2 linked regions of the Caenorhabditis elegans genome follow. The protein of the gene in region 2 purifies or fractionates together with the protein of the main gene of each other region. This does not show direct contact. Each region holds a gene or a part of one and is shown on either strand. Other genes may lie near its edges.

What was found.
Region 1: the proteins of tftc-3 (region 2) and npp-13 purify together in Caenorhabditis elegans (affinity purification with western blotting, with the first as the bait; one study listed by BioGRID). This does not show direct contact.

What each region holds. Positions count from the first base shown.
Region 1 is NC_003279.8:2,095,403-2,100,435, reverse strand, and holds the start of npp-13 (Nuclear pore protein), read right to left. Parts: upstream 3,091-5,033; 5' UTR 3,090-3,090; coding exon 2,991-3,089; intron 2,937-2,990; coding exon 2,697-2,936; intron 1,847-2,696; coding exon 1,730-1,846; intron 1-1,729.
Region 2 is NC_003283.11:10,206,078-10,212,257, reverse strand, and holds tftc-3 (TPR_REGION domain-containing protein), read left to right. Parts: upstream 1-1,913; 5' UTR 1,914-1,917; coding exon 1,918-2,478; intron 2,479-2,526; coding exon 2,527-3,402; intron 3,403-3,462; coding exon 3,463-3,726; intron 3,727-3,767; coding exon 3,768-4,191; intron 4,192-4,235; coding exon 4,236-4,372; intron 4,373-4,422; coding exon 4,423-4,538; intron 4,539-4,584; coding exon 4,585-4,684; intron 4,685-4,733; coding exon 4,734-5,263; intron 5,264-5,325; coding exon 5,326-5,431; 3' UTR 5,432-5,542; downstream 5,543-6,180. Other genes in the region: zhit-3 (Box C/D snoRNA protein 1), read left to right, coding at 135-249, 295-530, 578-781, 825-1,460, 1,506-1,682; rpc-25 (DNA-directed RNA polymerase III subunit RPC8), read left to right, coding at 5,657-5,869, 5,919-6,180.

The sequences.
Region 1 (5,033 bases), on a different chromosome or scaffold from region 2:
ATATGGCCTGACCTAGTTCGGCAAAAACTCTTCCATTTCAATATATGAGGGAAGCTAGAATTCCGTGTTTCGGCATAAAAATCATTATAAACGAGCACGGAACTCTGGTTCCGCTCATAAATTGAAATGGAAGAGTTTTTGCCGAACTAGGCCAGGTCATATCTGGGGGTAGATTTACGGTGCGTTGCGTGTCGCGTCGCGGCTCGATTTTTGTTGTAAAACTAAATGTATTTGTCCGTGTGGAGTACACGACTTTCCCAAGGCGATTGTCAATGGAGCGCGAAAAATTCTATGAGGAAGGCCAGAACCCCCTGTTTTCCATGGTCTCCCGGAGTGTTCATAATTATTCGAGCACGACACCTCACGAACTCCAGAATTCGCGGGAATTCGATTCGCGCGGGGACAGCAGTTTTTGGCTATTTCCGGCTTCTATAGAAATTCTTTTTTGAATTTTTTGATTTATAATATTGTTGAGAAGCATCATACGAATTGAAAATGTGTAAAATTATGAAATTTGACCGAAAACTGAAGGTTTTACTTCAAAATCTATCAGAACCGTCAGTTTTTCGATTTCGTAGTCGTAAAATATGTCATTTTGTAGAGAGAAAAGAGTATTTTACAAAAATCGACGTTTGAAAATTTAAAATTGTTTTTATTAAAAACTGAAAATCTTTTATAAAAAAAAACGATTTTAAAGTAAAATTGTTGATTTTTTGAATATTTTTATATTAGAAATTAAAGGTGGAGTACCGAAATTTGAGACTTTGCTTTTTTAGACCTAAAATGTTCCAAAACTACCGAATTTCGTGGTGAGGCGTTCTGAAAATTTCTCAACAAAAAAGTTATGTCCGTTCAAAGTTTTGGAAAAAATGGTAGATTTTTAGCTAAAATCTCAAATATTAGCAGCTTTTCAGTGTTGCAGCGGTTGGAACTTAATTTTATTTGATTAGCACTCTTTAATACATATTATGGTAGTTTATTACGCGTTTATTCGTTGATTTAAGCCCATTTTCGGTCGATGGGTGCACAAATATAATACAATTTTGTGCACCCATCAACCCAAAATGGGCTCAAATCAACGAAAAAACGCGTAATAAACTACCATAATATGTATTAAAGAGTGCTAGTCAAATAAAAATTGAGTACCAACCGATGCAGCACTGAAAAGCTGACAAATTTGAGATTTTAGCTGAAAATAGACCATTTCTTCCAAAACTTTGAGCGGTCGTAACTTTTTTTTGTTGAGAAATTTTCAGAACGTCTCATTACGAAATTTGGTAGTTTTGGAACATTTTGGGTCCAAAAAAGCAAAGTCTAAATTTTTGGTGCTCCACCTTTAATTTAATATAAAAATACTCAAAAAAACAACAATTTTACGTTAAAATCTTATTTTTTCTAGACTTTTCAGTTTTTAATAAAAACAATTTTCAATTTTAAATTTTCAAACGTGGATTTTTGTGAAACAGACTTTTATCTACAAAATTAAATATTTTACGACTTTGAAATCAAAAAACTGACGGTTCTGATACATTTTAAAGAAAGCCTTCTGTAAAACCGTCAGTTTTTGGTCAAATTTCATAATTTTAAACATTTTCAATTCGGAAAAATGCTTCTCAACAACATTATAAATCAAAAAAATAGAAAATAATATCTATAGAAGTGCGCGCGAAACGAATTCCCTCGAATTCTGGAGTTCGTGAGGTGTGCCGCGCAAGGGATTTTAACGAACATCTCGTTCCATAGCCTGTGCTGGATTCATGGGAACTGCGGCAGGTCTCGAAAGAAGCATGTGGTTGAAGAATGCTCGATCCGTCTCCACTTTAACACGAGAAATGTCCTCGTCGAGCTGGAAAATTTAAAGATTAAAACGTTGTTTTCATGATAAATTATTAATTAATCACGGCCACCTGGAGTGTTCATAATTATTAGAGCGCGCTCGCGCGGCACCTCACGAACTCCAGAATTCGCGGGAACACGTTCCGCGGGAACAGCAGTTTTTTTTATTTTTGACTTCTATAGGAAATATCTTTGATTTTTTGTTTTATAATATTCTTGAGAAGCATCATCCGAATTGAAAATGTGTAAAATTATAAAATTTGGCCGAAAACTGAAAGTTTTACAGAAGGAAGCCACTACAGTTTTTAAAAAAATGTATCAGGACCAGTTTTGCGATTTATGTGTCGTAAAATATGTCATTTTGTAGAGAATTAAAAGTTTCATAAGAATTTTTGTTTGAAAATTTAAAATTGTTTTTATTGAAAACTTAAAAATTGAAGAAATAAGATTTTAACGTAAAATTGTTGATTTTTTGAATATTTTTTTATTAGAAATTAACGAATTAAAATTTCAAACGAAAATTTTTATGAAACTTTTAATTCTCTACAAAATGACATATTTTACGACGCATAAATCGCAAAACTGGCGATCCTGATACATTTTTTCAAAAACTATAGTGGCTTTCTTCTGTAAAACTTCCAGTTTTCGGCCAATTTCATAATTTTACACATTTTCAATTCGGATGATGTTTCTCAAGAATATTATAAAACAAAAAATCAAAAATATTTCCTATAGAAGCCAAAAATAACAAAAAACTGCTGTTCCCGCGGAACGAACTCCCGCAAATTCTGGAGTTCGTGAGGTGCCACGCGAGCTCGCTCCAATAATTATGAACACTCAAGGAGGCCGTGATTAAGTACTTCTTCCTCGTCAATATCATCCATTACAGCTTCAGGCACGTCCACGACACCTTCATCAGTGAGAGTATCCTCGGCGGTGTGACTTTTCGGCTGGCGGCTCGGAAGTTCGATGCCACGCTCCCCAAACATCATCTGCTTCTGAACTGAGTGCGTCTGACGTGTCCAGTCGCCTTCTGAACCGCCTAAAATACCGCAAAGCTCCTGCTCGACGCCATTTCGGACTGTGAATTGCTGCGAGTTCTGGAAAAAGGGAATTTTTCGGTGTTTTTAACATTTTAAACATTATTTACAAACCTCTTGGCCGACACGGTTGGTTTGGAAAATCGGATTAGCAAGCAATTGTGCGAATCCTTGATGATCAACTCTTCCGAGGATCTCCGTAAACTGTAGCATCCTGAATTGAATTAAAAATTGAGAAAATTACTGGTTTAGGTTTTTTCAAGGATTTACAACATTAACCAGTTTACATTAACCACATTTTCCAGTTTAAACCCTGAAAAATATGAAAATAATCGAAAAATATCGTTAAAAAACGTTTTAAAAACCAAATAATTCTCGTTTTTCGCGGCAAAACGAAAATTAATTTTGAAAAAATCGGTGCAACGACACTCCGAAATCCCGCATGAATCCTAGGCCAGTATTTCGAGTTCTAGGCCACCAGCTTCTTGGCACATTGCCAAGAGCTGAATTTAAATTAATTTCCGCTGGAATTGAATCGAATTCAGTACAAATTGAGTGGGAAAATGAAAAACTTACAAAAAAATTGAAAAAAAAAACATTTTCGATGAAAATGTTTCAAGAAAATTGAGTATTATTTTTAAAGAAAAACGAAAAAAAAGACATAAATTCGGGAGCGTGTCGTAGCATCCACATTATCGACTTTTCCGGTTAGAAGTACACCGCCAGATGGTAGATCGGTCTCAGGAACTCATGGAGCAGATAATAAATCACAAATTGGATGATTTGAACACTAAAAAACATTAAATTTCTTTTAAAAAAATGAATTATTTAGTGACAGTTGTGTCGAGAGCTTTTTTAATCAGTAAATGTTTTACTGGTCTATGGAAAATAATTATAAGTAAAAATTACTGGAACACAGAATTCAGAGAGCCCGTATTGCGCAACATATTTGGCGCGCAAAATATCTCGCAGCGAAAACTACAGTAATTCTTTAAATTCTTTAAATTACTGTAGTTTTCGCTACGAGATATTAATAATTTTGCGCGTCAAATTTGTTGCGCAATACGCATTCTCTGAATTTTGTGTTCCCGTGATAATTCAACAATTTTTCAGTGTAAAACAAATCAGGGATTTCTTTTGAAAGTTTCGGGTTTTTTTTCCACCACGCGGGGTACTGTGGCACCGGTTTCAGCTGTGTCAATGGGGAAATGTGTGAAATTGAAGCATTCCCAGGCATGATGGGGGTCATTTTACAGCTGAAAATCGAGAAATTCGAATTTAACGACAATTTAAAGAACATTTTTGAAATGAAAAAATTTCCAAAAAAATTGTTTTTTTTTCCCCAATTTCACTTTTTTCTCTAAATTACTCTAAAATTCACATTCTCCTCATTCTCAGCTTCAAAATGACTCCCATCTTGCCCATTTTCTGCCAAATTTCAAATTTTCGGGTCCCACCACGCAGGGTACTGTAGCACCGGTTTCAGATGTGTCAGTAACCTAAATAGAGGGTTCTTAGGCATGATGGGGACTCATAATTTGAAATGGAAGAGTTTTTGCCGAACTAGGCCATTTTGGTTCGGCCATATCTGGAGTAGATTTACGGCGCGTCGCGGCTCGGTTTTAGTTGTAAAACTAAATGTATTTGTCCGCGTGGAGTACACGACTTTCCCAGTCCGGCGGGCGATTGTCAATGGAGCGCGAAAAATTCAACGAGGAAGGCCAGAACCCCGTGTAATTTTACATTAAATTTCGCTTTTGTTGATTAGAAAAACAAGAAAATATATTCATAATTTTCTCTAAAAACAAAAAAAACCAATTTTTATAAAAATTTCGTAAAAACGGGACACTTAATTAGAGTACTACGGGGTTATTGCCTTCCTCATTGAATTTTTCGCGCTCCATTGACAATCGCCTGCCGGACTGGGAAAGTCGTGTACTCCACACGGACAAATACATTTAGTTTTACAACTAAAATCGAGCCGCGACGCGACACGCAACGCGCCGTAAATCTACCCCAGATATGGCCGAGCCAAAACGGCCTAGTTCGGCAAAAACTCTTCCATTTCAAGGGAAGCCAGAAATCAGTGTGTAATGTGAATACACCAAATTCGACGCGCAAAGTTTGAAAATTCACAAAATCCTCACCAAAGTGCCA
Region 2 (6,180 bases):
CGTCTCAAGCATTTTGTAGTGCATTTCTTTAAAAGAATATATAAATTTCAATATGTTAAACTAAAAATAGGCTTTTATTACTTGCGATTTAAATAAACTTCGAATGTCGCAAGAGTAATTGAATTTTCAGTAATATGACTACGAGCCATACTCCTGAACCAAAAGAAGTAGAAGACTATCAGGAAGACGGAGAAATACTGGACGATGATGATGATGTACCAACGGAAATTCCAAATATAACTTCTGAATGTTAGTTTCAAGTTTGATATCAATTTAAACAAAAACAATTTTCAGTTTTGGTGAATTATCCCTCATCGGAAGACGAAAAATCTCCTGAAGACGTTATCAAAGCCTACAAGAGGAAAATTGAAAATCAAAAGAATGTGGAAAACGAGGAATCTGTAATCCCCGCTATTGATCCAAAATTATGTAAAGTTTGTTTGAAAAACGAGCACAAGTACAAATGCCCAAGATGTGAAATGCGGACATGTTCACTGGATTGTTCAAAGAAGCACAAAGCGGATAATAATGTAAAGTTGTTCACGTTTGAAAAAAGCAATTTTATTTGACTATTCAGTGTGATGGAGTACGGCAAGCGTTTACCAAGGTAGATAAATTGTCTCAATATGATCCACAAAAGTCAATTGATGATCAGAAATTCATGCACCTGATGAAAGAGAAAGTTGGGTTAGGAGCTGAACCAGTTGGTGGTGTCGGTAATGATGTGAATAGTTCGGATGGAGAAGAGAAACCAGTTGATCCGAATGCACTTCGATATACAGTAAGTAGTAGTATCTGTCAGCTTCATAAATATCGAAATTTAGACCAACTCTCCCACCGAGAGATATCTTCTCAACGCGGCTCGATTCCGTCATATTTGGTTAGGATTTGTTGGCGAACAAGAAAATGAGAGCAGACACGAGCAACATTCTGATACTATTTTTTGGACTTTGAAACTATCATTCAAAAAACAAACCGCGGACGGAGGTATAGAAGTATTCGAAAAGATAGTTAACAATATTCCTGAAACAATTCGAGTAGCAACAGTTTTGAAGCAATTCTTCAAACCCCGCCAATATGGATGCATTGTCTCTGAAAGCGACCTCGACGTTGAGAAGCTCAAGCCGTTTATTGATCGCGGAATTGACGATGTCAACGTTTATATGGAAGTTCACGCAAATCCAGAACGATACTACGGAATTATTACTGATAGCACCATTCTTGAAATGACAAGAACTCGAGTCGTTGCAGATTTTCCAAAATTAGTAATTACTATGAAGGACGAATTTATTGAAAGTATGCAGTTATTGTCTATGGAAGAACTTGCTGAGATTCAAACCAAATACGGAGGTGTAGGAAATCAAAGATTCGGAGGCGGCGGTAGAGGACGTGGTGGTAGAGGCTTTCATCGCGGAGGCGCCAATCGAGGTGGAGGAGGCTCGAATCATAATATCTTCAGAGTTAGTGGTTCAATATTTATTCAGATTCAAAATAAATGATTTCAGAAAAGACCAGGACAAGATGGAGGTCAAGACGGTGGTTTCAAGCGTGGACGCGGCGGAAATTTCCACGGAGGAAGCCGAAGAGGTGGATATCAGAACCGCACCCATCAGAATATCGATACCTTCGACCCATTCGAGCCCTTCTCCGGACCAAATCGACTTCCTATGGAGTACAATTGATTTGTTTTTTTTGTTGAAATATTTGGTACATTTTGTTGAATTTTATTCGTTTTTATCCATTTTTTGTACAACGTTGTTACACTTGTTATTTCTACATTTTTCAATTTTTTTTTTATAAAACATGAATGTTAGAGTTAATGGTCGAAATTCAAATTTTCATCGCGTACCGATCGCTTCTTTTTATTTTAAAACAGATCACAAACTTCTTTTTCATAGTATTATTGCTTGAAGAAACATGGATCCAAATCAACCATCAACTTCCGATTTCTTAATAGAGGAAGAAGAAGAGTACGGTAATATTTTAGAACAAGGTTCTGATGTTCCTGAAGTAGAAGAATACGATTTTGATGATGATGATGATACAAATGGAATTATTGCTGGAATTGATACAAAACCTCATCTTACTGGATTACACAATGGGTCCGGGAATAGAAAAAGAGTAGAAGAGCCAGCTGAAGCCATTGATGATGAAGAATTAGTGAACGCTATCAATAGATTCATGAGAAATGAATATGACTATGATCAATTTATGCGGGTTACTGGAGGACAAACTCTCAAGGAAGAGTTAGGAGCAAAGCAAAAAAGATCGGCAAGAAACAATGTGGTCGACGAAGTCGAAGAAATTGATACTGCAGATGATGATGAAGAAGAGGACGATGAAGATGTAGAGTTAATGGAAGACGTTGAAGAAGTGTCAACTTCTCAACATGCTGGAAGTTCATACTCTTTTCAGTCTGCAGGACCTTCTGATCGCTACGACGCTCTTCCCGAAGAAGCTCGATATATTATGACACAGGTTTGCATTGTTAGACTATCGATATTACTAGAATGAGAAAGGTTACAGATGATGTCTGGTAAAGATGAAGGACAGGTAAACCATTCCGATGAAATGGAAGTTGAATATGAAGTAGAAACTGAAGAAAGAGAACCTCCTCCTCTGAAACAAGTAAAAATAGAAGGCCAGAAAGCAGATTCTACAAGTACAGAAACTCCAGCCACAAATGCAGAACCTCGAGATCGAGGAAAATTGAAAAGATTGGATGCTATGTTGGGTCAGGCAAACGTGTTAGCTGCTCGTGGAAATATCACCGATGCCATGGAAATTCTTCGAGAAGTAATTAAACAGGATCATAAACATGCGATTGCTTATCAACAGATAGCCACTGTATATGAACAGTTAGGAGATCATCAAAAAGCTCTTCAATTTGGTTTACTGGCATCGCATCTAGATCCGAAGACTCCACCAGATGACTGGGTACATTGGGGAGATGAAGCTGAAAAATTCGGAATGATTGAAGAAGCTGCCGTTTGTTACGATAGAGCTATTCATCTCAATAATGAGAATTGGAAGTTTTACGAAAAAAGAATTGAAATGCTTGATCGGCTGAACCTACGACCTCTCGCAATGCGTACTCGTCTACAAGCTGCTCAATTGATCAACAATGAAATTTTACAAGTGGATTTTGAGTGGTTTCATGATTTGATTCGCAAAGTCGCTCAGTACTACATTACAATGAATGATGAAGAGAAAGCAATTCAATCTCTCGAAGCATTTGTTCTCCGGAGTAAAGAATTCGAACGAGATGCAGAACCACAACATGAAACTCTCATTGGAATGTATTTAGCAAAGAGCAAATTCCGACAAGCTGGAATGTCAATTCTGGCAATGTGCAATGGTGTCAAAGCAATTCGTTCTACAACAAAGGATCCCGCATGCCTTGTAAGTTGTTCATAAAGTCTATCACTGTGTTGTTTATAATAATTTATAAAATTATTTCAGATAACTTACACAAATGGAACATATGAATGTTTGCCTTTTCCACCTGTCGGAAGCGATATCGATTATGATATTGATGTCAATCTGTTTCCAGTCAGTATGCACTGCCATCTCGTCATTTGTCTCTTCAGTTTGGATGAAGTCGAACAGTCTTCCGTGTTGGAACATAAATTATTGAAAAGAAATTTCAATGTAGAAGAAGATGAAGGATTTATTCTAGATGTGCCAAGGCTTTACAAGAACAGAGGACATCCGAAACTTGCAATGGTGAGAAATATTATGTAATAACAAAATACAGTTTTTTTTAGAACTTCCTGGATCAATTGACCAAAAATCCTTGTTACAACAACGAAGCATCTGGTGCTTACTGGTATCTGAAAGGAAGTCTTGAAATGATGCAGAAGCATGATGATCTAGCAATGGAAGCATTCAATAAAGTTCTGATACTACAACCGGATCATATTGATAATCGTATCCATTTGTCAACTCTCCAGCAAAAATCTGGGTTTTTCGAAAAAGCCCTCGAAACCTTGGAAAATTATGACCTGGAAAACTGCTCATCGATGCCAGATGAACGTCTTCTTGCTCGTCGAGCAGACGTTTTATTCGAAGCAGGAGATTCTGAGCAGTTTGTAAGGATCACGAGAATGATGCTGGCTCCCCACTTCTACAAAGTCTATATTTCTCCAGATATTTTGAAGAAACGACGGGTTACCAAAGGAAAAACGACTAGTAAGTGAAATAACATTTTAATTGTCTTCAATACGAATTTCCAGCACCTGCTCTCAGTAATACTTTGAAAACTTGTGCTTTTGGAGTTGTTAAACATACAAATTGGGAACGCCTTGTCAAAAGGCTGGGAGCAACTGTAGAAGCCAATGGGACTTTTCAAACATCGCTTTCGGGAACAGATGTAATCATTATTCGAGCATACATTTGATTGTGTAAATTTTTAATTTTCAGATACATGACTACTGTTTGAAGTTAATCGAATGTTTAAATAAAATGGAGAAACATCAAGACGCACTCATTGTCTGTTGTTATGCATTTTTACATCCAACTCTTTTCAAAGCCGACAAGTGAGCTAATTTGTTCAAAATTTTCCACACATTACAAAATTTTCAGAATCTCCACTTTCCAGAATTTAGTATATTTTTGTGCAATCAAAGCAAGATGTTGGAATTTGGCATTTGAATATGTTAGATTCTTTCACACTTTTTCTTTGGTAACAATTTGTATCTTATTGGACGCATTTAAGTAATTTAAATTTCCAGGCAGTCAGCGATCCTCAAAATGGCTCATTCTCTGACGTTCTCCAAAAACGCCTTTTCAATGCAATGAACTACGTATTCGTCAACTCTCAGAATGTCTGCTACCATCGATTTATCATGAGAGCACTCGTCAAAGCTAAAGATAATCATGCTCTTCAAGCGATTTCAGGCAATAATTCACTTATCACGGGAACATACCGACATGCAATGGGAGAGTATCTTCGAGTATGGGTAGCCAATAAACGAAATCCACTCATCTGTATGCTGCTTGCTCTCACTTTCACTCATATGTCTTGTAAGAAGGATCTCTCAAGTAGACACCTCATCGGAATCCGAGGAATTGCTTTTATGAAGAAGTATTCAAAAGCACGGGCTTGCCAACAAGAAGTCTTTTATAACATTGCCAGAATGTTCCATCAAATGTCGATTCTCCCTCTCGCCAAACATTTTTATGATAAAGTATTGGAGGTTGATCCGCCGTGTGTGTTTGATTTTGATGAAGATGGCAATGAGGTTATTATTCCAGCAATGAAGTAAGACAATTTTAAAAATAAATTAGAAATTTCTGTCTGTAGAAATACTATTAAAATTTCAGATATGACCTGAGAAAGATGGCTGCTCACAACCTGGCTTTAATCTACCGAACATCAGGAAACAATTTCGCCGCTAGGAAAATTTATGAAAAATATCTTGTTGTTTGATTTTTTGTTGAAGAATAATTTTTGTTAATCTATCCAATGTCTGACATTGTGTGGTCTAATTTATAAGTAGCAATCCCATCGTACTTTTTTAAACAATTACTTATAAATTTTCTTTTTTATTATTTTTATTTCATTATATTTGGTTCTGAGAATATAGTTCAAGCTTCCATTCAATATCTGCTGATACTGATGCCGTATAAAAGGAAAATGTTTAATATTTACAGTATGTTCATTCTTTCTCTACTGCACGATACGGTGGCTATTCAGCCTCATCAATTGAGCTCTGATCAGCAAATTGTTATCAAAAAACGGCTCAATGAACGTCTCGCCAACAAAATTATTCCGGATCTTGGTCTCTGTATTTGTGTCTATGATATAAATGAAATTGGTGATTCGTACATTTTACCCGGCGAAGGAGATTGTAGAGCGAGAGTTAAGGTAATAAATCAATGTACAGTCGTATTTGAGAAATGAAATAAATCTTCAGTTCCGTATGATCGTTTTTCGGCCATTTGTCGATGAAGTTATTGAGGCCAAAGTGATTGGTTCATCACGACAAGGTCTTTGTCTAACAATTCAATTCTTCGAAGACATTTTTGTACCGGCGGAAAAGCTTCCAGAACCTCATGTTTTCGAAGAAGAAGGGCAAGTTTGGTATTGGGAATATGCACAGGAAGATGGAGAACCACCAGCAAAACTGTATATGGATCCAGGGAAGATTGTGAGATTCCGAGTGACGGAAATCATTT